Linked DNA regions of Oryzias latipes. The protein of the gene in region 1 interacts with the protein of each later gene in a pairwise test. Links are inferred from orthologs where the notes say so. Each region holds a gene or a part of one and is shown in the gene's direction. Other genes may lie near its edges.

Region 1 (3,500 bases):
TCTGGTGGATGTGTGGAACATGATCGAAGCCTTTCGGGACAACGGCCTCAACGCGCTGGACCACAACGCTGAGATCAACGTGTCGCGGTTGGAGACCATCCTGTCCTCCATCTATTACCAGCTCAACAAGCGTCTGCCCACCACCCACCAGATCAACGTGGAGCAGTCCATCGGGCTGCTGCTCAACTTCATGGTGGCGACCTACGACAGGTACGACAGGAGCGCAGAGGAACGACAGGACGTTGGTGACGATGTCTTGAAGTTGAAAGGTGACATCTGGACTCAAAGTCTTCTGTCTTGGAAACGTTTCCTGCCCTCCAGAGACGGACGAAGGTTTCCAGGGTGGAGGACTTCAAGTCCAGACGCCACGATTTAGCTGCAAGACAATTACAGGAAGCTGAACCAGAAGAAGAAAGTCTTTGAAACGTCCTAAAAGAAGTCTGAATTAAGAGGCGATTCTGACTTTAACTGACAGAAACCAGACTAAAATCTTCTGTTTCCGTTTCTATCAGAAATCTTAAAGCTTAACAAATGTTTCTATTAACCGTTTTCAGCATCTGTAAGACTTTAATTCACTCTGAATTCCAAGGCAAGGCAAGGCAAGTTTATTTGTATAGCACAATTTTACACAAAGTAATTCAAGGTGCTTCACAAAACAGAAAAATGCATTAAAATCACAATACATCATAGAAATAATCAACGTAAAATTAACTTTAAAAGAAAAGAAAAAAACATTTTGAAAATTGATTTAAAAATAAAGGAAGGAAAGGAAAGAAAAGTGCAGATAGGACCTTTCAGTCATATACACGGCTAAACAGAAATGTTTTAAGTCTAGATTTGAACATGAACACAGAAGAGGCCTGTCTTACGACTTCAGGGAGGCTGTTCCAGATTTCAGCTGCAGAATATTGAAACGCTGATTCCCCTTGTTTAGTTCTGACTCTGGGAATCAACAGGAGGCCATACAGTGTTTTGGAGTTTTAGCCTTATTTGTTTTTTTTTCAAACATCTTCATTCAGTTTTTCTGAGCTTCCTACTCAACTCAAATGTTATTACCATTTATTTTCAAATTGTTTTCAAAATTCAGTTTAAAATTAATGTTTTTCAAATGAATAGTGTTTCTATTAATCTACTTTTATTCTTCTCAGAATGAACAGTTTTGAACTTTCTTTATAAAATGTGTCATGTCATTAAAGACTCTTTATTCTGTTCTATTGTGTTCTAGTCTATTATGTTCTATTCTATTGTGTTTTATTCTATTCTGTTATTTTCTAATCTATTGCATTTGTATTCTGTTCTGTTTTATTATTTTCTGTTTTATTGTATTCTATTCGTTCTATTCTCCTTCTATTCTTTTTTCTGTTCTATTCTGTTCAATTGTGTTTTATTCTGTTCTATTCTATCCTGTTCTATAATGTTTTATACTTTTCTGTTCTCTTGTGTTCTATTCTATTCTATTCTGTTCAATTGTGTTCTATCCTGTTCTATTGTGTTTAATTCTTTTTTATTGTGTCCTGTTCTATTCTATTCTATTCTATTCTATTGTGTTCTATTTTCTTCTGTTGTTTTCTGTTCTTTTGTGTTCTAATGTGTTTCATTGTATCCTGTTCTGTTCTATTCTATTGCGTTGGTTTCTATTCTCTTCCATTGTGTTTTATTCTACTTTATTCTATCCTGTTCTATTTTGTTCTAATCCCCTCTGTTCTGTTCTATTTTTTCTGTTCTATTCTGTTCTATTATGTTTGTTTCTTTTCTATCCTGTTTCATTGTGTTGTATTCTATTGTGTTCTATTCTCCTTTCTTCTATTATATTCTTTTTTGCTTGTTCTATTTTGTTGTCTTTTGTTGTCTTTGATTTGGTTTGATTATTGTTTGTTTCTATTCTATTGTTTTCTATTCTGTTCTATTTTTTCTGTTCTGTTTTGTTTTATTTTTTTCTATTCTATTCAATTTAAATGAACATTTATTAATGTCTTAAATCCATCTCCACACTTTAGACACACTTTATTTTCAGGAACACAATCTTTGCGTTCTTAGGACTCTGTTTCAGTTTTTGATGTCAAAAAGTGAAAAAGGTAGAAAAACATGAAACTGTCTTTTTCTCCAGTGACAGTCCGGGGAAGATGACCGTGTTCTCCATGAAGACCATGCTGGCCACCATGTGTGGAGGCAAAATTGTGGACAAACTTCGCTGTAAGACCAGTTTTGAGAGTGTTACATTTAGAAACATTTGTGTTTGTTTTCTTTGAGCACAACCTTCTGAACCTACATGCAGTAAATGAAGCTGAAAGCAGGGGGCGCTGTGGGTCCAATCACCAACTGTCTGCGGGTTTCAGACATTTTTTCACAGATCTCTGACTGCAGTGGACTGATGGTGTTTGCTAAGTTTGACCAGCTGCTCAGGGAGGTGTTGAAGCTCCCCACCGCCGTGTTCGAGGGGCCGTCCTTTGGATACACAGAACATTCTCTGCGGATGTGTTTTCCACAGCAGGTGGGATGCAGAAGACGCATTCCTACACGTCTTTCCCAATAAATGCACTGATGTTTGTGTTTGACACCAGAAGAAGATCCTGCTGAACACGTTTTTGGATGTGCTCATGGCAGACCCCCCCCCTCAGTGTCTCGTGTGGCTCCCACTGATGCACAGACTCGCTAACGTTGAAAATGGTGAGTTTTTGCCTGTAGGAAGGTTCGAACCCTGGATGGGACCTTCCTGTGTGGAGTTTGCATGTGTGGTATTTCTGTAGCTTCCCCCTACAGTCCATGAAATGATGACATAAAGAACCAAATCCGTCCAACGCCAACGTTCCATCCAGACACGCTGACGTTCCATCCAGACACGCTAACATTCCATCCAGACACGCTAACATTCCATCCAGACACGCCGACGTTCCATCCAGACACGCTGACGTTCCATCCAGACACGCTGACGTTCCATCCAAACACGCCGACGTTCCATCCAGACACGCTGACGTTCCATCCAGACACGCTGACGTTCCATCCAAACACGCCGACGTTCCATCCAGACACGCCGACGTTCCATCCAGACACGCTGACATTCCATCCAAACACGCTGACATTCCATCCAGACACGCCAACGTTCCATCCAGACACGCCGACGTTCCATCCAGACACGCTGACATTCCATCCAAACACGCTGACATTCCATCCAGACACGCCGACGTTCCATCCAGACACGCCAACGTTCCATCCAGACACGCCGACGTTCCATCCAGACACGCTGACATTCCATCCTGACGTTCCATCCAGACACGCTGACGTTCCATCCAAACACGCTGACGTTCCATCCAAACACGCTGACGTTCCATCCAAACACGCCGACGTTCCATCCAGACACGCTGACGTTCCATCCAGACACGCTGACATTCCATCCAGACACGCTGACGTTCCATCCAAACACGCCGACGTTCCATCCAGACACGCAGACGTTCCATCCAAACATGCCGACGTTCCATCCAAACACGCTGACGTTCCATCCA
Region 2 (3,500 bases), on another chromosome or scaffold:
TGAGTTAGTGAAACCTTCTCTGAGTTAGTGGAACCTTCTCTGAGTTAGTGGAACCTTCCCTGAGTTAGTGAAACCTTCTCTGAGTTAGTGAAACCTTCCCTGAGTTAGTGAAACCTTCTCTGAGTTAGTGAAACCTTCCCTGAGTTAGTGAAACCTTCCCTGAGTTAGTGAAACCTTCCCTGAGTTAGTGACACCTTCCCTGAGTTAGTGAAACCTTCTCTGAGTTAGTGAAACCTTCCCTGAGTTAGTGAAACCTTCCCTGAGTTAGTGACACCTTCCCTGAGTTAGTGAAACCTTCTCTGAGTTAGTGAAACCTTCCTTGAGTTAGTGAAACCTTCCCTGAGTTAGTGACACCTTCTCTGAGTTAGTGAAACCTTCCCTGAGTTAGTGAAAGCTTCCCTGAGTTAGTGAAACCTTTTCTGAGTTAGTGATACTTCTCTGAGTTAGTGAAATCTTCTCTGAGTTAGTGAAACCTTCCCTGAGTTAGTGAAACCTTCCCCGAGTTAGTGAAACCTTCCCTGAGTTAGTGAAACCTTCCCTGAGTTAGTGACACCTTCTCTGAATTAGTGAAACCTTCCCTGAGTTAGTGAAACCTTCTCTGAGTTAGAGAAACCTTCTCTGAGTTAGTGAAACCTTCCCTGAGTTAGTGAAACCTTCCCTGAGTTAGTGAAACCTTCCCTGAGTTAGTGAAACCTTCCCTGAGTTAGTGAAACCTTCCCTGAGTTAGTGAAACCTTCTGTGAGCTAGTGACACATTCTCTGAGTTAATGAAATCTTCCTTTGAGTTACTGAAACCTTCTCTGAGTTAGAGACACCTTCTCTGAGTTAGAGAAACCTTCTCTGTGTTAGAGAAACCATCTCTGAGTTAGAGAAACCTTCTCTGAGTTAGAGAAACCTTCTCTGAGTTAGAGAAACCTTCTCTGAGTTAGAGAAACCTTCTCTGAGTTAGAGAAACCTTCTCTGAGTTAGAGAAACCTTCTCTGAGTTAGAGAAACCTTCTCTGAGTTAGAGACACCTTCTCTGAGTTAGAGAAACCTTTTCTGAGTTAGAGAAACCTTCTCTGAGTTAGAGAAACCTTCTCTGAGCTAGTGACACATTCTCTGAGTTAGTGAAACCTTTTCTGAGTTAGAGAAACCTTCTCTGAGCTAGTGACACATTCTCTGAGTTAGTGAAACCTTTTCTGAGTTAGAGAAACCTTTTCTGAGTTAGAGAAACCTTCTCTGAGTTAGAGAAACCTTCTCTGAGCTAGTGACACATTCTCTGAGTTAGTGAAACCTTTTCTGAGTTAGAGAAACCTTTTCTGAGTTAGAGAAACCTTTTCTGAGTTAGAGAAACCTTCTCTGAGTTAGAGAAACCTTCTCTGAGCTAGTGACACATTCTCTGAGTTAGTGAAACCTTTTCTGAGTTAGAGAAACCTTCTCTGAGCTAGTGACACATTCTCTGAGTTAGTGAAACCTTTTCTGAGTTAGAGAAACCTTTTCTGAGTTAGAGAAACCTTCTCTGAGTTAGTGAAACCTTTTCTGAGCTAGTGACACATTCTCTGAGTTAGTGAAACCTTTTCTGAGTTAGAGAAACCTTCTCTGAGTTAGTGAAACCTTCTCTGAGCTAGTGACACATTATCTGAGTTAGTGAAACCTTCTCTGAGTTAGTGAAACCTTCTCTGCAGTGCTCTCTGTATTTCTGGGTTTCCTATGATGCCAGAGTTCTGCTGTGATTGAAATGTCTGTCTGTGTTTACATGAGAGCGGAGGGTTTCTCCGCCATGAAGCCTCACGGTGCACAGCGCATCAGTAACGGCTGCATGCCCCCTGTTCTCTTTGTGCTTCATGCTTCTTTAGGAGTTTGCTGCACTAACAAAGGAGGTGAACGTGTGCCGGGAGCAGCTTCTGGAGAAAGAGGAGGAGATCGCCGAGTTGAAGGCGGAGAGGAACAACACCCGGGTGAGTGAGATGCACACCTTTTTCCTTGGATCTAGCTAGCAACAGTTGTCAAAACAAAAACTCTTTTACTGTTTAACATTGACAACAAATCTTATGGAGACAAAAAACAGTTCATGGTTTCCAAAATGTGTAGTTTGAGAGCAGGAGCGAGGCTTCACTCTGGTCCTCCCTGTCTGTGGTGTGTGCAGCTCCTGCTGGAACACCTGGAGTGCCTGGTGTCGCGTCACGAGCGCAGTCTGAGGATGACCGTGGTGAAGAGGCAGGCTCAGTCTCCTGCTGGTGTCTCCAGCGAGGTGGAGGTCCTCAAGGCTCTCAAGTCACTTTTTGAACACCACAAAGCCCTTGATGAGAAGGTGTGTTTTTGTAGGGAATGTCCAACAGCTCCTGGTAGAATACTGTGCTTGATAAGGATGAATGAAGTTAAAAAGGTTTATGTTCCACCTTTGAAGGTAAGAGAGCGTCTTCGTGTTGCTCTGGAGCGATGCAGCGCTTTGGAGGAAGAACTCGCCATTTCACACAAAGAAGTGAGTAAACACTACAAACTCTGTTTGGGGCTTAGGATGTAAACGGGGTGTTTCGGCTCCAAGTTAGAAGAAGTGCGGCTACACTGGACTTTGTTTAGTATTTATTGAAGTCTCAAGAGCTCAGAGGCTGTTTGTTCATGCATGAATCTACCTGATGTCCTTCATCCGAGGACTGTGGTACATATAGCAGGTTCCAGATGTTATCTGAGATCGCTTCAGTCAGACTTTGCAGAAATCATGTCACACCAGGTTAGTAAATGCTGTGAGGCCATTTGAGCTTTATACAAATGCGTTGAAATGAATCTCATAAAGAACTTTGTGTGATGTTTCTTTGTCCCTCATGTTTTTGATGCCTGCACCAGCCACCCTTGTGAGGGACCAAAGGCTGATTTATGTGAGGTTTAATGCCTTTTGTGAGGCAGAGGGGAAAAAAAAACAAGCACAGGAACCGCGAGAATTGCCCCTTACCCCATAACTTCTGCTAGTTGCCTCTGCTTTTAGTTTAACCCGATGAAGCAGCAGAACATGTGAGGGTTTGTACCAGGCTCCAGAAAGACCTAGAGGAGAATTTTTTTCTCTCAATAACCTTTATTGCACATTTTTCAATTTACAGAAATTCACATTCAGTTGCACAATAAAGAAACAATTGTTACTATCAAACACACATATAAGACCAAACAACAATAATAGGAATAAGCCCTTTTTGTGTGTGTCCCTGCTGGACTTACAGCAGCAACAGAATGTTTAGGGAAGAGGGTTGATATGGAGACAGCGATGTGGTGACACTGATGCTACCATGCTATCATGCAACCATGCTATCATGCTAAAATACTCAGATGCTTTATTGCTGTGTGTCGCCTACATCTGATCACGGACCGGTTTAAAGTCAGACCATATTTTCACAGAGCGAACTTTAAGACGTGGAGGATAAATGCCACAAAAAGAATTCATAGAACATTAATAAAAACTGTATTTTATAAATATAATAACAGACACTTTCTGCTGGCTCTTGTAACATTACAGAGCCCAGCGTTGAGC
Region 3 (4,029 bases), on another chromosome or scaffold:
AGCTGACCTGTGTGTTGGACGTGCTGTTCCCCTGCAGAACTCACCATTCCATCTGTAATGAGAGGCGCTGCTTGGTCTCCAGCTCCTCTCCTTCCAGTTTGAGTGTGTCGTCCTCCTCTCCTGCCTCTGCGATCTGCTCCCACTGCCTGCTGTCCACCCACAGAGCTTCCTGCAGGCTGAGGCCTCGGTCAATGCAGGTGACCCTGCGGCACAGCGGGCAGGCCAGCGCCAGGTAGCTGCTCCTGACCTGCTGCATGGCCTCCAGACACAGTTCACAGAAGGTATGTCTGCAGTGAAGCACCCGGGGGATCCTGTCCATGCGGGAGTAAGGGAAGAAGCAGACGGTGCAGTCGCTGTCCTCACACAGAACCATGGTCCAGATGGACGACGGCGATGTTCCTGCTGAGAGCCACAGAGGAGCTGCAGAAGGTCCCAGACGGTCCCACGGGCCCGGCTGGGAAGAAACATGAAAAGATTGTCCTTTGGTCAAACTTTACCCAGGAATGACAGCTGTATTTATTTCTACTCTAAGGAGAAAAAATGAATTAGAGGAATTTTTGATATTTTAATTCTTGTGAATGCAACCATTTCACATCAAGATAAGAAAACTCATTATTTTCTTGGATAATAACATGTCCTTTTAATAGTAAAAAGTTACAGTATAAAAAGAAGTTTACCACTGACAGAAGAAGAGGAGTCATGTTCAAATAAATCAAATGTTATACTTACTTGAGTGAAATGCTTCTAGTTCTCGTTCAGATCAGGTTTTTCCAAGTGGCTCAGTCTGCCTGCAGTCAAGAACTGTAAATGAACTGTCGCGTCTGCCGCCTGTTGAGAGTCCGCCGCGGCTGGGGGCGGAACAGAGACGTCTGTCACCGCCCAGGACTCGCCCAACAACAGCTGGGGAAGCTGAGCCAAGCCTCCGTCTTTGTTCCTGTGTTTGCTGTTAGGCCGGTGGAGGGCTGGTCGAAGGAGATGACTAACTTAGAAATGGTAAAAAGTTAAAAAAATAAATAAATAAATAAAATAAAAAATATCCACTCCAACCACTTGGATAAAAATGTTTTTCTTAGTGGAAAATAAAAAGCTTTGGGCAGTGGACAATAAAAACCTTTGGGCTCGTCCGGGATTTGAACCCGGGACCTCTCGCACCCAAAGCGAGAATCATACCCCTAGACCAACGAGCCACGCTTACACTTAGTCAAAATATGTAAATATAATCTGTATTGAGATGAAAATGGAGGGTGTGTCCGAATTCGGGGGCTGCGTCTTTCAGTGGCCGCGGCCTTCACGGTCGACGTTGGCCGGGTCATTCGTCGCGCGGGTTGTCTGGATGTTAACGGCTGTGAATTTGGACGAGTCTTAGCCGTAGATCATTCCAGCCGCGTCGGCGAATGTCCTGTCGCGTAGTAAGTAACGTGTCGCGTGACTGACTCAGAGAGGAGTAGTGATCCAGGCATGGAGTCCTTATAGTCCGGCTGAGACACAACAGGTACTGTACGGAGCCCGTGACCTGACATGGGTAAAAAAAAAAAATGTTCCCACGAAATAATAATTCATCTGATAAGTCATTCTTGGATTTACAGCAGATACTTTCACATTTCTGTCTGTGTATATTTCATTACAATGCATTGAAGACACGGAGGATGTTTAGAGGTCTGTGTGCACTTTTTTGGCATTTTCAACATGCTTATGCTAATTTAACAGACTATTTTCATTCATCTTTGTTGTTTTATGTTGAAACGGGACATTTCGTTTAAACATTGGTGTTCTGCGCATGACAGGTTCATGACGTAAGGTGACAAATGGACTTCTGGGTTTGTGATTGAAAAGGAAAATAAAGTAGCGGTCCTCTACACCCAAACGAGTCTCTGAGCTCCTTAGTTAACTCCGCTTTACCGACACCGAACCCTGGAAGGCTGGCTACACTAACAAAAATGTGATTTTAAGTCGTCAAAAGGCTCAAAATTTGTTTGTTTTTGAAACTTATCTGGAAATAAAGCTTCACAAAAGTCTCCACATATTTCGTCTTCAAGCTAGGCTCCGATAAACAGAAAACTTATGTGTTTTTACTTGTTTTTTACTATGACTTTTTCTTGTAGATTTACGAGAAAAAAACTCAAAAATTTACGAGATTTTAAGTTGTGAATTTATGAGATAAAACTCATAAATTAACGAGATAAAATCTCATAACGTCTTAAAATCTCGTAATTTAACAGTTATGACTTTCTTTCTCTGAAATTTACGAATTAAAAATCGTAATTTTAATTTTTTTTTTTTGTAAACTGAAAACTCCATCGTATTTATGAATCCACTGTGTTCTGAAGATAAAAACTTTGATGGTTTGTTTAAAATATACTTTATTTGGGGTAAAAATTGCTTTGACGCAATGCATTGTGGTCTATGGTACCGATTTACGTAGTGAGCACACTGGTTTTTGACAGAGCCTATGTCCGAAATCCCACCCTAACCGTTATATAGTGCATCTTACCATTTTGAAGTGCTGTCTGAACCTACAATTCCCAAATTGAGTGCCCCGCAGAAATTTCCCAGATGTCTCTGCGAAAAACCGGTGTGCCTCGACGCTCATTAGATCGGGAAATATAGACAACAATGCATTGCGTCTGTAATTTTTGCAGAAAAATGTATTTAAATGTTTTTAAAATGTTTTGTGTTTATCTTCAGAAGACAGTGGACTTATAAATAATCATCACAAAGTCACACCCCACCCCTCCCCTTTCGTTCTCACTCATGCAGCCCCGTGTGACACGAGATAGGAGCAGCTGCAGGGACGGGAATTCAAAGGTTTCAGGCTGTTACAAACTCTGTGATATAACAGACAACAGGAACCGAATAGTGGACCAGATATTTTTCCAAGCACTGAGCCGCTGTCACCACCGCCCCCATGTTAAATTTGCGCACCGGACGATTGCCCGTATTACCTGTGCATAAACCACCATCACCGCGCGCCCCCCCCTGACATCGCTTCGCGCCGCCTAGCCCCACTATTTGAGAAGAACTGGTCTAGTGGGTCTAGATGACCCAACTCCCAATGTTAAAGTGCCTAGGATAGCACGGTGTCTGAATAGCTTTTAAAATTCAAGGCATTATATAATGCTGCACTGTATAGTTTTTTTTAAAAGTTAGGGGTTAGGGCGGTAACAGGCTCCGTATGTATTCAATCTCTCAAAAAATAAAACAAAATTCTACAAGATGAAGTTCTCAAGAATTACACAATAGCTTTAGCTAGTTTAACGGACATATTTTATAACTTCCTTACAGGTTGTAAAATATATAATAACTGTAGTAACTTTGTGGGTTTGTAGAGTACCCCAAAATGGTTAATAAAAATACTTTTTTTTGTTTATTTACTTCTCATAAGTTTTTATACTAAATATAACTGTGTACAAGTACCTACCCTCTTTTGAGAATGTAAAAAAATTGTTATATAATAACTATAAACTATTTTTAAATTGTTTTATTAATCAGACTACATTAGTGTTAAATGTTAATTTTATCATGTGACTTATTTTTTGCAGAAATTAATTTTAACAATGTTTACCATACTCTTATTTGAATTCAGTAAAAGTTGAATTTAAGTATTTTGTTCTTATCATATCCAAGTAAAATCATCTTTTTAAGCCTCATAGAAACTTAAAACCAAATCTTTATAATAAAAAAGGATTTCTTGTGTATTTCTCTTTGACCAGACTAGATGTCTGTACTGCAGAATCAACTTATGGATAATCTTTGGTCACGCAGCATCCATCGACACCAAGCTCTGCAAACCCTGCTGATCTACAGTGAAGGCGCATCCCGAAACTCTCTTAGCAGATCAACAGACCAGATTAGTTTTAACCCTTTTGCTATCCTGGGAGTTGGGTCATCTAGACCCACTAGAGAGTGCTCTGAACCTTTTTTCTTGAATGATTTGTGATCTTCAGTGGTGTCCATGGATTACATGAAATCTTTCCACCTTTGTCATGGTAGGGAGAACACGTCAAAGTAAGGGTGTAGTCATCATTTTGT
Region 4 (3,164 bases), on another chromosome or scaffold:
ATAGATAAAGTATTTTTTTTTTTTACACAATATTTTTTTGGTCCCACTAAACTTCTGGGTCCTTATCCATGTACTTTAATTGGGCTGGTATAAAATATTTTATCTCTATTTATCAAACAATATCTTAATCAGCCCTATCCTGAAAAAAACAAACAGATTTTATGACTTACACCTGAAGTTGAAAATAAGCAAATAAAGTTAAAATCATAAACAAAATGTTACCAACAGTAACAGATTTCTCTTTTGTTCAGATGCTTTAGGTACCTGTGAATATATAAAATTGTTAAACAATCATTAATAACACTCACACTTTCATATTAATAAATATTTATTAGTTATTTTAGTGAAAATGTATATAAAACCGAATTTTTTGCAGGGGAGGGGGGAGTTCTCCTCAAAATATTTTGAATACTGTGTGTATATTAACAGCTAAATATTACTGGTTGTAATGTTGAGAGTTTTGGTCTATTTTGGAGATTTGGAGATGAACATTTAGGATGCTTTGGAAATGTGTTTTTAAATTTAAACCTTATCTGAAGAAAGTATGTGTGTTTTATAGCAAACCTCTGCAGATCCTCTCCAATGGAAGGAGCCTGACATCCTTCAAGTGCTTCAGCTGTGGAGAGAGAAAGTGTTCAAGTTGTGCGTCCAGCTTCGCTCTAAAGACATTGAGACGAGAAGAGAAAAAGACAAAGTTCTTTTTGATGTATGAAAAAAGTCATTTGTTCTTCAAACTCTGTACATTTCATCAGTGTTATTTTTAACCAAAAAACACTTGTTCTGTCTCAGGTGAGATCCACGGAGCAGCAGCTCCAGCAGGAGCAGCACCAGAACCGTCTGCTCCAACACAGTCTGCAAGACAGGATGGCAGAGCTGGACCTGGAGAAGGTAGAAAAGGAGGTTAGCATCAGAACGTCTGAGCTCATAAAGACACTATAAAGATGTGTCTGCATGTCGCTTTTCTAAAAATATGTTGTTATCAAACTAGACACTGAGGGAAGATTTAACAAAAGTTGAGAGAGAAAATGCTGAGCTGAAGTCACAGAACCAGAGAGCAGAGGCTGAAATCAAGATCCTGATAGAAGCTGTGCAGAGGTAACTTTTATTTGATACAAATTGATTTTCATTTCTGTATTTCCTCAATGGTATTTATTGCAGTTTTTTCTCAACAGGTTCCAGAAGGAATTTGACCGCAAGACCGCAGAAGTAGACTCTGCTAAAACAAAGCTAAACACTTTTACCCAGAGGCTCTCTTTTGCTTCTAGAAGAGTGGAGACCATCCAGTGTAAGGCTTCTGGGGTTAGCTTGTTGACAGAAATTCTTCCTCATAGACGTGCATACAACATTTCAGTGAATACTGTTTTGGTTCTGCAGGTTTGGTCATGAGGCGAGCGGCTCTGCAGAAAATTGAGCAGGCGTGTCAACCACCAAAGCAAGAAAAGAACAGGTATAGGTTCACAATCAGATGATTGTCGTGCACAAACAGACCTGATTGGATAATTAAAAATGGTTCACATGAGTTTTTCCCATCAGATCTTATTTAACTAAATAAACCCAGTTCAAATAAATATTTGTTGAACTGGGACACTTGTAGTTTTGGGCACAATGACATCAAGCACTTTTATTTTTTTGTTTATTTTTTTATGTTTCATTTAAAGTGTAAAGAGTATATGCAATCATATTTTCTATTTGTCTAGATTTTCTACTCAAAATTAGGTTCACGAGTATTTTTGTTTTGTTCTATGGAAACAGTGATCCGAGATTTTGAACAAAATAGATCTTCTAAATATCACTGCATAATTTAAGACGTGACATCATTTTGCATCAAAAGCAACATTTCCCTTCAACCCTGTCAAAGATTTGAATTATTTGAATTATGAAAATTTAAGAATTCTTTGAGAAGGGTAAAAACTGTATTAATAACAAGTTTATATGGACTTGATTGTCTGTTTTATTGATATTTTTAACTTTGCATTTTCTTACAGTTCGTCTTCTTATAGTATTTTTTGTCTTGCAGCTTGACAAACTTGCAGACGGAATACGGTCTGATTTGCGAGGAGCGAGACAGGCTGAGTCTAGAGCTCAAAAGAACCCCAGAGCTCATTGAGAAAGCTCTCGCTGATCTGAAGGAACAATGTGAGATCATGTTTTGATTTATGACTTTTCTGGAATCCATGATTGGGATTAGACTTCTTCTGTCTGCAGATGGGAGTAAAGTCAGGCAGCTGGAGCAGGAGCTGGAGCTGAGCTGCATGGAGGTGAAACAGGCTCTAGCCGGTAAAGAGAAGGCGGAACAGAGGCTGCAGCAGATCCAGGCACAGCTGGATGAGACCAGCATCAGCTTGGAGACACTTCCCTGTGAGCTGCTCCACCAGCAAGAGCGAAACCAGCAGGGTGAGGCAGCGACTTGACTTTGAACGGAACTGGCCTTTTCTGGAAAGGTTCTTGTTTTGATGCTTCAGCAGCCTTACGGGGACCCGGACACTATGTCTCCAGCTGATCAAGTGGAGTCAACCATGTCAAACTGAAACTTTTGTTAAAAACTGATCAGCTTTGAGAAAAAAAGATATAAAGAACATTGTTCACATTCTTATTGTTCATGTCCTCCTGACTACCAGAAATGTAAAGTTGTCCATTATAGAGGGTATTTTAAACCCCAATATTTCCCAACCTCTCTACTACTAAATTTACTCATCTGGTATCTAAGAGGACATTTAAGGCTTTTCAATGTTACTAAGTGGAAAAGGATGGGGCTTATTTTTTTTCTCTGGTAGTTGGAAGAATAACACTTTTTTAAATATCTGGAAATCAGAACAAAATTTTGTGTAAAATGTTTAGGATATGTCTTCATATAATGTTTTTATTTTGCTTTTTAATTAATAATTTATCCAATTTTTTATTATTTTGTGTCAAACCTTGTAAAAACGTAACACTACTGGATTCCTTAGCTTCAGTTCTTTTTGATTTCCATATTAAGTGATGATGCAGGCATCACATTTACCGTTTACCATAAGTGTTTACTTTCCTTTAGAGGAATTTTTATTTATTTTTATTATTATTATTATTATTTTTTTTTTTTTACAAAAAATAGTACCTAAAAAGGAAAAAAAGTGAAGAAAAATACCACAAAACCATCCAACTGTGGAGACTAAAACCCAGATATA
Region 5 (3,459 bases), on another chromosome or scaffold:
GGGGAGTGGTCGCTTCAACGCGCGTTTCTGAGCCCGGTGTGAACGCACGGTGAAAACCACGCCCCATGAGGTTTACTGTTGTCATGGCGACAACAGAAGCGTCTGAAAGTGTCACCAAAACCACCAGATTGATGAACATCAACAACTCTGTGTGTGTTAGACGGACTCCAAGGTGAACGGTACGGCCCTGTCCTCGCCCTCCACCTCCTCCCAGCGCTCTGACTCCTCCCTGCCCGTCCTACGAGTGGCCGCCAGCCAGACCACCGACACCATGGGTGAGTGCCGCCATGGCGCAGCGGCGTTGTCACGATCAGCCGCCGGGAAAACGCCAAACATCTGTTGATGCTTTGCAGGTGATGATGATCTGTCCAGCCCTTCCCAGGATGCATCTGGTCTAAAAGAAGTGATGGAGCAGCTCAACAATACCTTTCCTCACAGCCAGGGTGCGCTGTCTCCACTCTCCTTACTGCTGAGGTGTTGGGTGTTTGATCAGCTGACGTTGTCTGGACGTTGAGTCGTGGCGTCTGGGCTGACTGATGACGCTAAGTCCAGACGCCACGACTCAACCTGTGGACTTTTAGGAACTTTTAAGCTACAAGAATTAGAAATGTAGCGTCAGAGGATCTTTGTTTTCAGTTCTGTTTCCTGCTGTGAACTCGTGTCAGCTGAGACTTTAACGGTGGAGCTCTAGCTGCATGTTGACGTTCTTTGAAATGTTTTAACCCTTTGACTGTCTACAGCAGGGGTCGGGAACCTTTTTGGCCAAGAGAGCCATAAATGCCACATAATGCCATACAATAATGTAGCGTCCCTTTCCCACACTGAGGCACAGAGACTTAACTTCTTTTGAGGTTCTTTATTCTGGTTACTGCAGACCGCAACAAACGCCGTACAATTAATTCAGCAACTCCTTATTCTCTCCCGCCTAGACGAGAGCGTAGGTGTAGATGTGAGACAGACATAGAGCCAAACACACACTCACACTGCAGTGAGTGACGGGCAGCGGGTTTACGTTTTTACCATCCCTGCTGCCTGTACCCAGGCACGGCAATTCAAAGGTTTCCAGTTGGTACAAACTCTGTGAAATAATAGATAATAGTAACTGATAGCGCTGGCGCAGATTTTTCTCTCCAAGCACCGCTACTACTGCGCGCCTCTGGCATGGCATCAAACCCGAGATGGACTGGTCTAATGAAAAAAAAAGTATAATTAAAGATTTGTCTGCGAGCAACATGTGACCATCAAAAGAGCCATATATGGCTCGCCAGCCATAGCTTCCTGACCCCTGGTCTACACGGTTAACTGAAGCAGAGAGAAACAGCTTTGTGCTGACAAACACAGCTGTTGTATATCTTTATGAATGACATAAACAATCATAGAGCTACAATGACTCTGTAAGTCTGATACGATTCTGTCAATCACCTAGACCTCCGTAGAGTTACAGTAATTCTGTGATAATCTGATCCTAACTATGATAGTTAATGTAACAGAATACCAACAGATAGTGATGCTAAGAACGGCAGCTTGGCTCTTTTTTCCTTTTGACTCATCAGCCCAAAGCCGTTTTCTTTGAATTAATCTAAAATGATCATAATGTTACGGTGAGTGAAAGGGTGTGTGATATTTAGGCGTAGCCGCTGACATCGCTGGAGCTAAAAGCTTAACTCTGGAAAACTGCCCAAAGTTACCCACTAGTTAAGCCTCAGGTTAGCTCAGTTAAAAGGCACATCTGTTTTATTGGGGTGGGTGTGGGGGGTTCTCTGTTCATCCTAGCACTGCTCTGATCTTCTTTCTTGCGCCTGCTCTTCCATGGTCCAGGAGGGAGAAGGGGACATCATCTTTGAGCGGTCAGTGCCTCACTCCCCATCATCCATTTTTATTGCAGTGTGTCCTCCTGACAGACAGGGGGCAGCACAGGAGCAGGCTCATTCATGAGAACGTGACATCGCTAACGTCTGCTCTCCTCCCCGTCAGGTCCCAGCACCCCCAGCCATCATGGAGTCGGCGGTCATCGCCATGACAGACGCGCAGGACGCCATGGGACAGCCCTTTTGAACTCTAGCCCCGCCCCCTACATAAAGCATGCTTTTCTAGTCGAAACAACTGGATTGAAGAGTTTACAAAGAAATTCTAACATCTATTTTTGTGAATGATGGTTGTTGTAACTTAGACTGAGTAGTTTCTTAACGCGTCCTGACGTCATTCTCTGGTTTTTAAACTTCTATGCAAAACTGTAAAAAAACGGAGAGGGACAGACCGGATCTCTTTCTATTGACGAGCAGCCCGAGCATTTCACACATTTCTATCAAAAAATGATTGTAATAATACGTTTTCTAAGAGGACGCCGCTTCTGACTGATGTGTGTTTGTGTGTGACTACTGCATACCAAGGGTAACTGGGCAGGTAGAGCCACGCCCCTTTGTTTGAATGGCTGTTGGAGCCAAACTATAGGTGTTTGTCACCATCGTGGTAACCTGACATGCTAAGTACAGGTGCAGTCTGTAACTAGAGGGCGGGGTTGGACTTACAGGTGCAGTTTGGTTCCTACACCCGCTGTCCTCGGTCTCTGCCGTACTGATGTTGGTTTACAGACCAGACTGACAGAAGAAGGAAAATAGAAACCAATGCAATACAAAAACAGCTAAAGTATCAGACCCAACCAGGAGGATCCAAGTCCACGACCTGAAACAAGAACAACCCGTCCAAAAACGCAGCCCAAAACGATTTGACTCATCCGGCCCAAGCTGAACAAGAGCCAGACCAGACTCCGCCCCTTCCTGGTCTGGAGGTGTGTGTTGTGTGGAAGTGAACATCCTCAGCAGCAGCATGACCCGATGGTTTGTGCGTGAATCAACAAACGTCTGTTCTTCACGACATATCAGACTCCACCAAATGTATGCCTTACTACTGTATTACGAAATGCTTTACTATGTATCAATAAAGCACGCAGTTATGTCCAGCTGCTGGCGCCGTGGTGTTTGTGAGGCTGACGACCAGGTCCACAGGTTGACGGCTGGACTCTGGACTTGGTCCTCTTTGGTACATTTGGACAAAAAGCTCCATTTCTCTGCTCATCAAAGCAGCCTGAAGCCAAGAACCGTCTGACTGTTCAGAAACAACTATTGAAGTAAACCTGGATGTTTGAAAAGACTGAAGATGATGAGGGGAGGGACCCGCCTAACCCCTTCAGAGTCACAGGAGCCGACCTGGTTCCTGTTAAGTGAGGTTAGAGTTCACCATGGATGGGTTACCAGTGGACAGACACACTGGGGCTTTGGGGCTGTTTGGGGTCCAATGGACCCAGGATGCATGTTGTTGTAGACCAGAGGACATGTCCTCCACACAGGTGTTGATGCATAGATCCTTGATGAGTTCTTCTGTTTTTGCCATTTCTGCTCACATCTCTAACAAACTGTTGTAACGTTTACCCCCCCTGCACTCACATGAAAGAAGGGGGTG
Region 6 (3,500 bases), about 18 Mb from region 1:
TATAATCTCGTTTGATGCACAGAACCTTTTGTTCATGCAGAATCACCTTTAAAGTCAGTAAAAAAAAAAGTCCCATCACTGTCACACATAGGTGTGTGAAATTTGTTCTCTGCATTTGACTCATCCCCCGGGAAAGCCGTGAGCTGCAGTCACTACATTTGGTGGGTTAATTTCCCAATCCAAAGGCTGAGTGCTCTTTGTTTTGACTTGTTTGTGGATTTGAACTCGAACCTTCCAGTTTTAGGGTGGACACTCTTCCACAATGGCACTGAGCTGGTCTTGTACTTGCGAGTCTTCAGATTTCCTAGCAGAAGAGGTCACAAGTCTCTCATGGGGGAAACTCAGAAATTAAGCAGCATGCTGATATACTGACACGCCAAAGAAATTCATTTGAAATTTTCAAAATTACTTTTTTTTTAAGTTGTTAAGCTTTTTTTAAAGTTTTGTATTCAAACAAGATTCTCTATGACAAATAAGATTCTCTATGACAAAGTTCCAAGAAGAAAACTTTGCAATATATTCTGGATGTCCATTTTGACAGGTTTTCCTAAACTTTCCTTAGTCAAAAGTTTTGGGTTTTAAATCTGCAAAAGGAATTTTTTTTCTTCTATTTTCCAGCGTTCACAATGTCGCACAAAACTAATTAACCCAAAACTAGAGCAGAGAAGCATGGCTCAATGGTGACATTTTGAGAAAAAGAAGATTAAACTGTTCATTGTGTACATAATTGGTCTGCTTGGTAAAATGTCAATGCTCTTTTCAACGCCAACAGACAAAATCTGGGATTGCTTTGCTCTACAATGAGGACACCAACAATACCTACGACGTCTGCCTGAAGCTGACCAAAGAGGCATTAACCATACAGAAGCTGGACGTGATTTGTACCAGTGGAACTGAATCCCAAGTAAATGTAAGTGCTCCTGAGAACTTAACACTTTTACTGCAGTTAATGTCGTTTTACTGCAGAAGACTGTCCCTGTACTCCCAATATCCCTTTTGCCAATAAGAAACTCCCACTTTTTAAAGCACAGAACTGTTGTACTGCGAAGACAAGCAACTGGAGGACTCGGCCTAAGCATCAAAGTAAGCAGATATGTTTACATTACTCAATGATGGAAGTGAAAATGAAACATATTTGAGTGGAAGTGATTAAAGTTGGTTATTTTTTTTATGTAGAAAATGAGTTTGAAAAGAAAGTTACTCCATAATTCAACAGGTTTTTTTTTTTTTTTTTTTTGGTATTTTCAGGGAGGTGCAGAGCACAACGTTCCAGTGGTTATTTCTAAGATCTTTAAGGATCAAGTTGGTAAGTAAGGTTTGTAATTGTTTGACCTTTGTGTTGGCATTGGAGAGTTTTTTTACATGACCACAAAAGTCAGACAAGTGGGAGGAATCGGTAACGCTAATTCTTGGAAATGCGAGCATCGGAAAAACATCAGATGGCAATAATCTGATGTCAATTGGAGAACTACCTGAATACATAAATAATAATGGGATTTTTGAAATTCCTGCTCCTTTCAAAAGCTTTGTTTTCCCTACACATTGTAGTTCATCGTATTGTTAACTTTGCTATTATTTCCAAATTAAACAAAACGTTACTGCTGCTTTCTGTTTGTGTTTGTGTACACATGCACAGATGTAAAATTACAAAACATTTTAGAAATGGGTGGAAATGTGTTCAGAATTGGCTTTTTGGGGGAATTCTGAAGAGAATTATCCTCCACAAATTGGATTTCAAAATAAAATGATGCCCTTGAGGTTCCTTATTTTATTTTAGCATCTTCCCCCTTCCTTAATTAGGTTGGTCGATAATGTGAACAAAGTCTGAAAGCAACTTATTGGAGGGGTTACTACAGAACAATATTTTAATGAAGGAAAGAAACCATTAAAAAGCATGAAAGTCATTCCAAAAATTAAAAGAAAGTATGCTGCTTTCAAAATCGAAGAAAGGAGTTGATGATGAACACCGCTTTTTTTTAATGTATTGATTGCAGTGTTCAAAAGACAGTAAAAGTTTAATTATATTCAAGGATTGTCTGATTGTTTGGTACATTTAAATTCAACTTTCAGTACAAAACTGACATAGAAACAAGGGCACTATCTAACTTGTTTAAAAAAAAGACTAAGTTGTGTCACCAGAAAACAAAACAATTTGGATTTATTTTTTTTTGTATTTTGCAGAATAAAAGTTTTCAAATTCTTTTCCTTTTAACTTTACCGAAATGGTGATGTGGCCCTCCAACACAATGGTGAATGTAGGAGGGGACCATGGAAACCTTGACTAATCTCCTTTTAACGACATGGTTTCCTGTCACGCCAGTGCAAAAGAGTTGATATCCTGATTAGTTTGGAATTTCACGCTTTCTTGTGTTTAGTCTCTGAGCTTTAGGATGGTGTCTAAGATAAGTATGACGGAGACACTGATTGTTATTTCTATCATGTCAGAGATGAGCAATTATCCTTTAATGTTTTCATTAACCTCCATCAATTGCTCTCTGCAGCCGATCAGACTGGAAAGCTTTTCATTGGAGACGCCGTCCTTCAGGTTGGTGCAGAAGTTTAAATTGCATAGAAACTGTTCAGGTCACAATATGAAGAATCTTTATTTCAAACCTGCTATAAAGTGAAAAGGTCCACTAAAGGACATAAATTTACATTTTTTAAATTGCAAGTTCAACTAGAAATGTTTTCTTTGCAAATATATTTGCAAATAGCTGTCAGTCTGTGGTTGAAAATAAATATTGTGATCAGTAAATATCGCCTCAGAAATGAACTGTTTGAATTTGCCAAGGTTTTCTTGGAAAACATTCATGTTGGCTCATTTTAAAGTTAATTTGAGTCTGTCTGGCTTCCATATTGGATCGACTGTTGATCTAGAATATCAAAAAGACTGAATGGATGCCAAAGTAATACCCACATTCATAATGGACGTTATTACGAATCTTTTATTAATAGAGCTGCCGCTGCCTTCATCTTCAGATCACTACTGTTTACATTTATTTGCAAGTTGTCTGAAATGTCACAGAGCAGAATATTGAAGCTATTATCATACGTTAGTGAGAAGAAGACGCAAATTAGGCGTGGGCTTGTTTGAAAGAGAATAATGGAAAAATAGTGGTAAAAAAATGATGTATGTATGAAAAGTTTTACCTTTGCTATTATAAGGAGTTAGAAAAAGTAGCTCTTTAACAGAAACTCCAATCAGAGCTTTAAGTTATGCACTCTTTTATTTCTGCACATACCTCATTGCATTGAAATTGCTGAAAAAACACCATCAATGTCTTGTTAGTAGATGACACTTGTGTCCTATTGTGTCTGAGGCTTTTCTTTGTAGTTTTTGTTGCTGGCCGCTTGTTTTCTGTTCTGTTTTGTTTCATTTGTCATCATTTTTCTTTTTCTTACTTTTCTATTTTTTTAATTATTATCAGTATTATTTATTTATTGTTTTTTCAATAAATAGATAAATGCAAAGACTTGTGGTTTTATACACAAATGAGTCA

What was found.
Region 2: the proteins of dystrobrevin beta (region 1) and liprin-alpha-1 interact in binary tests that used the Homo sapiens proteins (3 or more experiments, as listed by UniProt). The link is inferred for Oryzias latipes from reciprocal best matches to the Homo sapiens genes DTNB and PPFIA1.
Region 3: the proteins of dystrobrevin beta (region 1) and cep63 interact in binary tests that used the Homo sapiens proteins (3 or more experiments, as listed by UniProt). The two-hybrid records come from large-scale screens. The link is inferred for Oryzias latipes from reciprocal best matches to the Homo sapiens genes DTNB and CEP63.
Region 4: the proteins of dystrobrevin beta (region 1) and coiled-coil alpha-helical rod protein 1 interact in binary tests that used the Homo sapiens proteins (3 or more experiments, as listed by UniProt). The link is inferred for Oryzias latipes from reciprocal best matches to the Homo sapiens genes DTNB and CCHCR1.
Region 5: the proteins of dystrobrevin beta (region 1) and dmd interact in binary tests that used the Homo sapiens proteins (3 or more experiments, as listed by UniProt). The link is inferred for Oryzias latipes from reciprocal best matches to the Homo sapiens genes DTNB and DMD.
Region 6: the proteins of dystrobrevin beta (region 1) and sntg2 interact in binary tests that used the Homo sapiens proteins (3 or more experiments, as listed by UniProt). The link is inferred for Oryzias latipes from reciprocal best matches to the Homo sapiens genes DTNB and SNTG2.

Annotation. Positions count from the first base shown.
Region 1 is NC_019880.2:104,019-107,518, reverse strand, and holds part of dystrobrevin beta, read left to right. Parts: coding exon 1-210; intron 211-2,107; coding exon 2,108-2,193; intron 2,194-2,336; coding exon 2,337-2,491; intron 2,492-2,561; coding exon 2,562-2,667; intron 2,668-3,500.
Region 2 is NC_019861.2:2,121,644-2,125,143, forward strand, and holds part of liprin-alpha-1, read left to right. Parts: intron 1-1,836; coding exon 1,837-1,938; intron 1,939-2,126; coding exon 2,127-2,291; intron 2,292-2,387; coding exon 2,388-2,462; intron 2,463-3,500. UniProt on the Homo sapiens protein: May regulate the disassembly of focal adhesions. May localize receptor-like tyrosine phosphatases type 2A at specific sites on the plasma membrane, possibly regulating their interaction with the extracellular environment and their association with substrates.
Region 3 is NC_019862.2:2,686,827-2,690,855, reverse strand, and holds the start of cep63 (centrosomal protein of 63 kDa), read left to right. Parts: upstream 1-1,229; 5' UTR 1,230-1,492; intron 1,493-4,029. Other genes in the region: uncharacterized protein LOC111947333, read right to left, coding at 45-373. UniProt on the Homo sapiens protein: Required for normal spindle assembly.
Region 4 is NC_019872.2:16,058,902-16,062,065, forward strand, and holds part of coiled-coil alpha-helical rod protein 1, read left to right. Parts: intron 1-559; coding exon 560-706; intron 707-789; coding exon 790-900; intron 901-988; coding exon 989-1,095; intron 1,096-1,172; coding exon 1,173-1,285; intron 1,286-1,374; coding exon 1,375-1,447; intron 1,448-2,017; coding exon 2,018-2,136; intron 2,137-2,205; coding exon 2,206-2,394; intron 2,395-3,164. UniProt on the Homo sapiens protein: May be a regulator of keratinocyte proliferation or differentiation.
Region 5 is NC_019860.2:218,307-221,765, forward strand, and holds the end of dmd (dystrophin), read left to right. Parts: intron 1-160; coding exon 161-275; intron 276-353; coding exon 354-443; intron 444-1,818; coding exon 1,819-1,844; 3' UTR 1,845-1,847; intron 1,848-1,974; 3' UTR 1,975-2,959; downstream 2,960-3,459. UniProt on the Homo sapiens protein: Anchors the extracellular matrix to the cytoskeleton via F-actin. Ligand for dystroglycan.
Region 6 is NC_019880.2:18,097,927-18,101,426, reverse strand, and holds part of sntg2 (gamma-2-syntrophin), read left to right. Parts: intron 1-772; coding exon 773-910; intron 911-1,026; coding exon 1,027-1,083; intron 1,084-1,248; coding exon 1,249-1,306; intron 1,307-2,501; coding exon 2,502-2,545; intron 2,546-3,500. UniProt on the Homo sapiens protein: Adapter protein that binds to and probably organizes the subcellular localization of a variety of proteins. May link various receptors to the actin cytoskeleton and the dystrophin glycoprotein complex.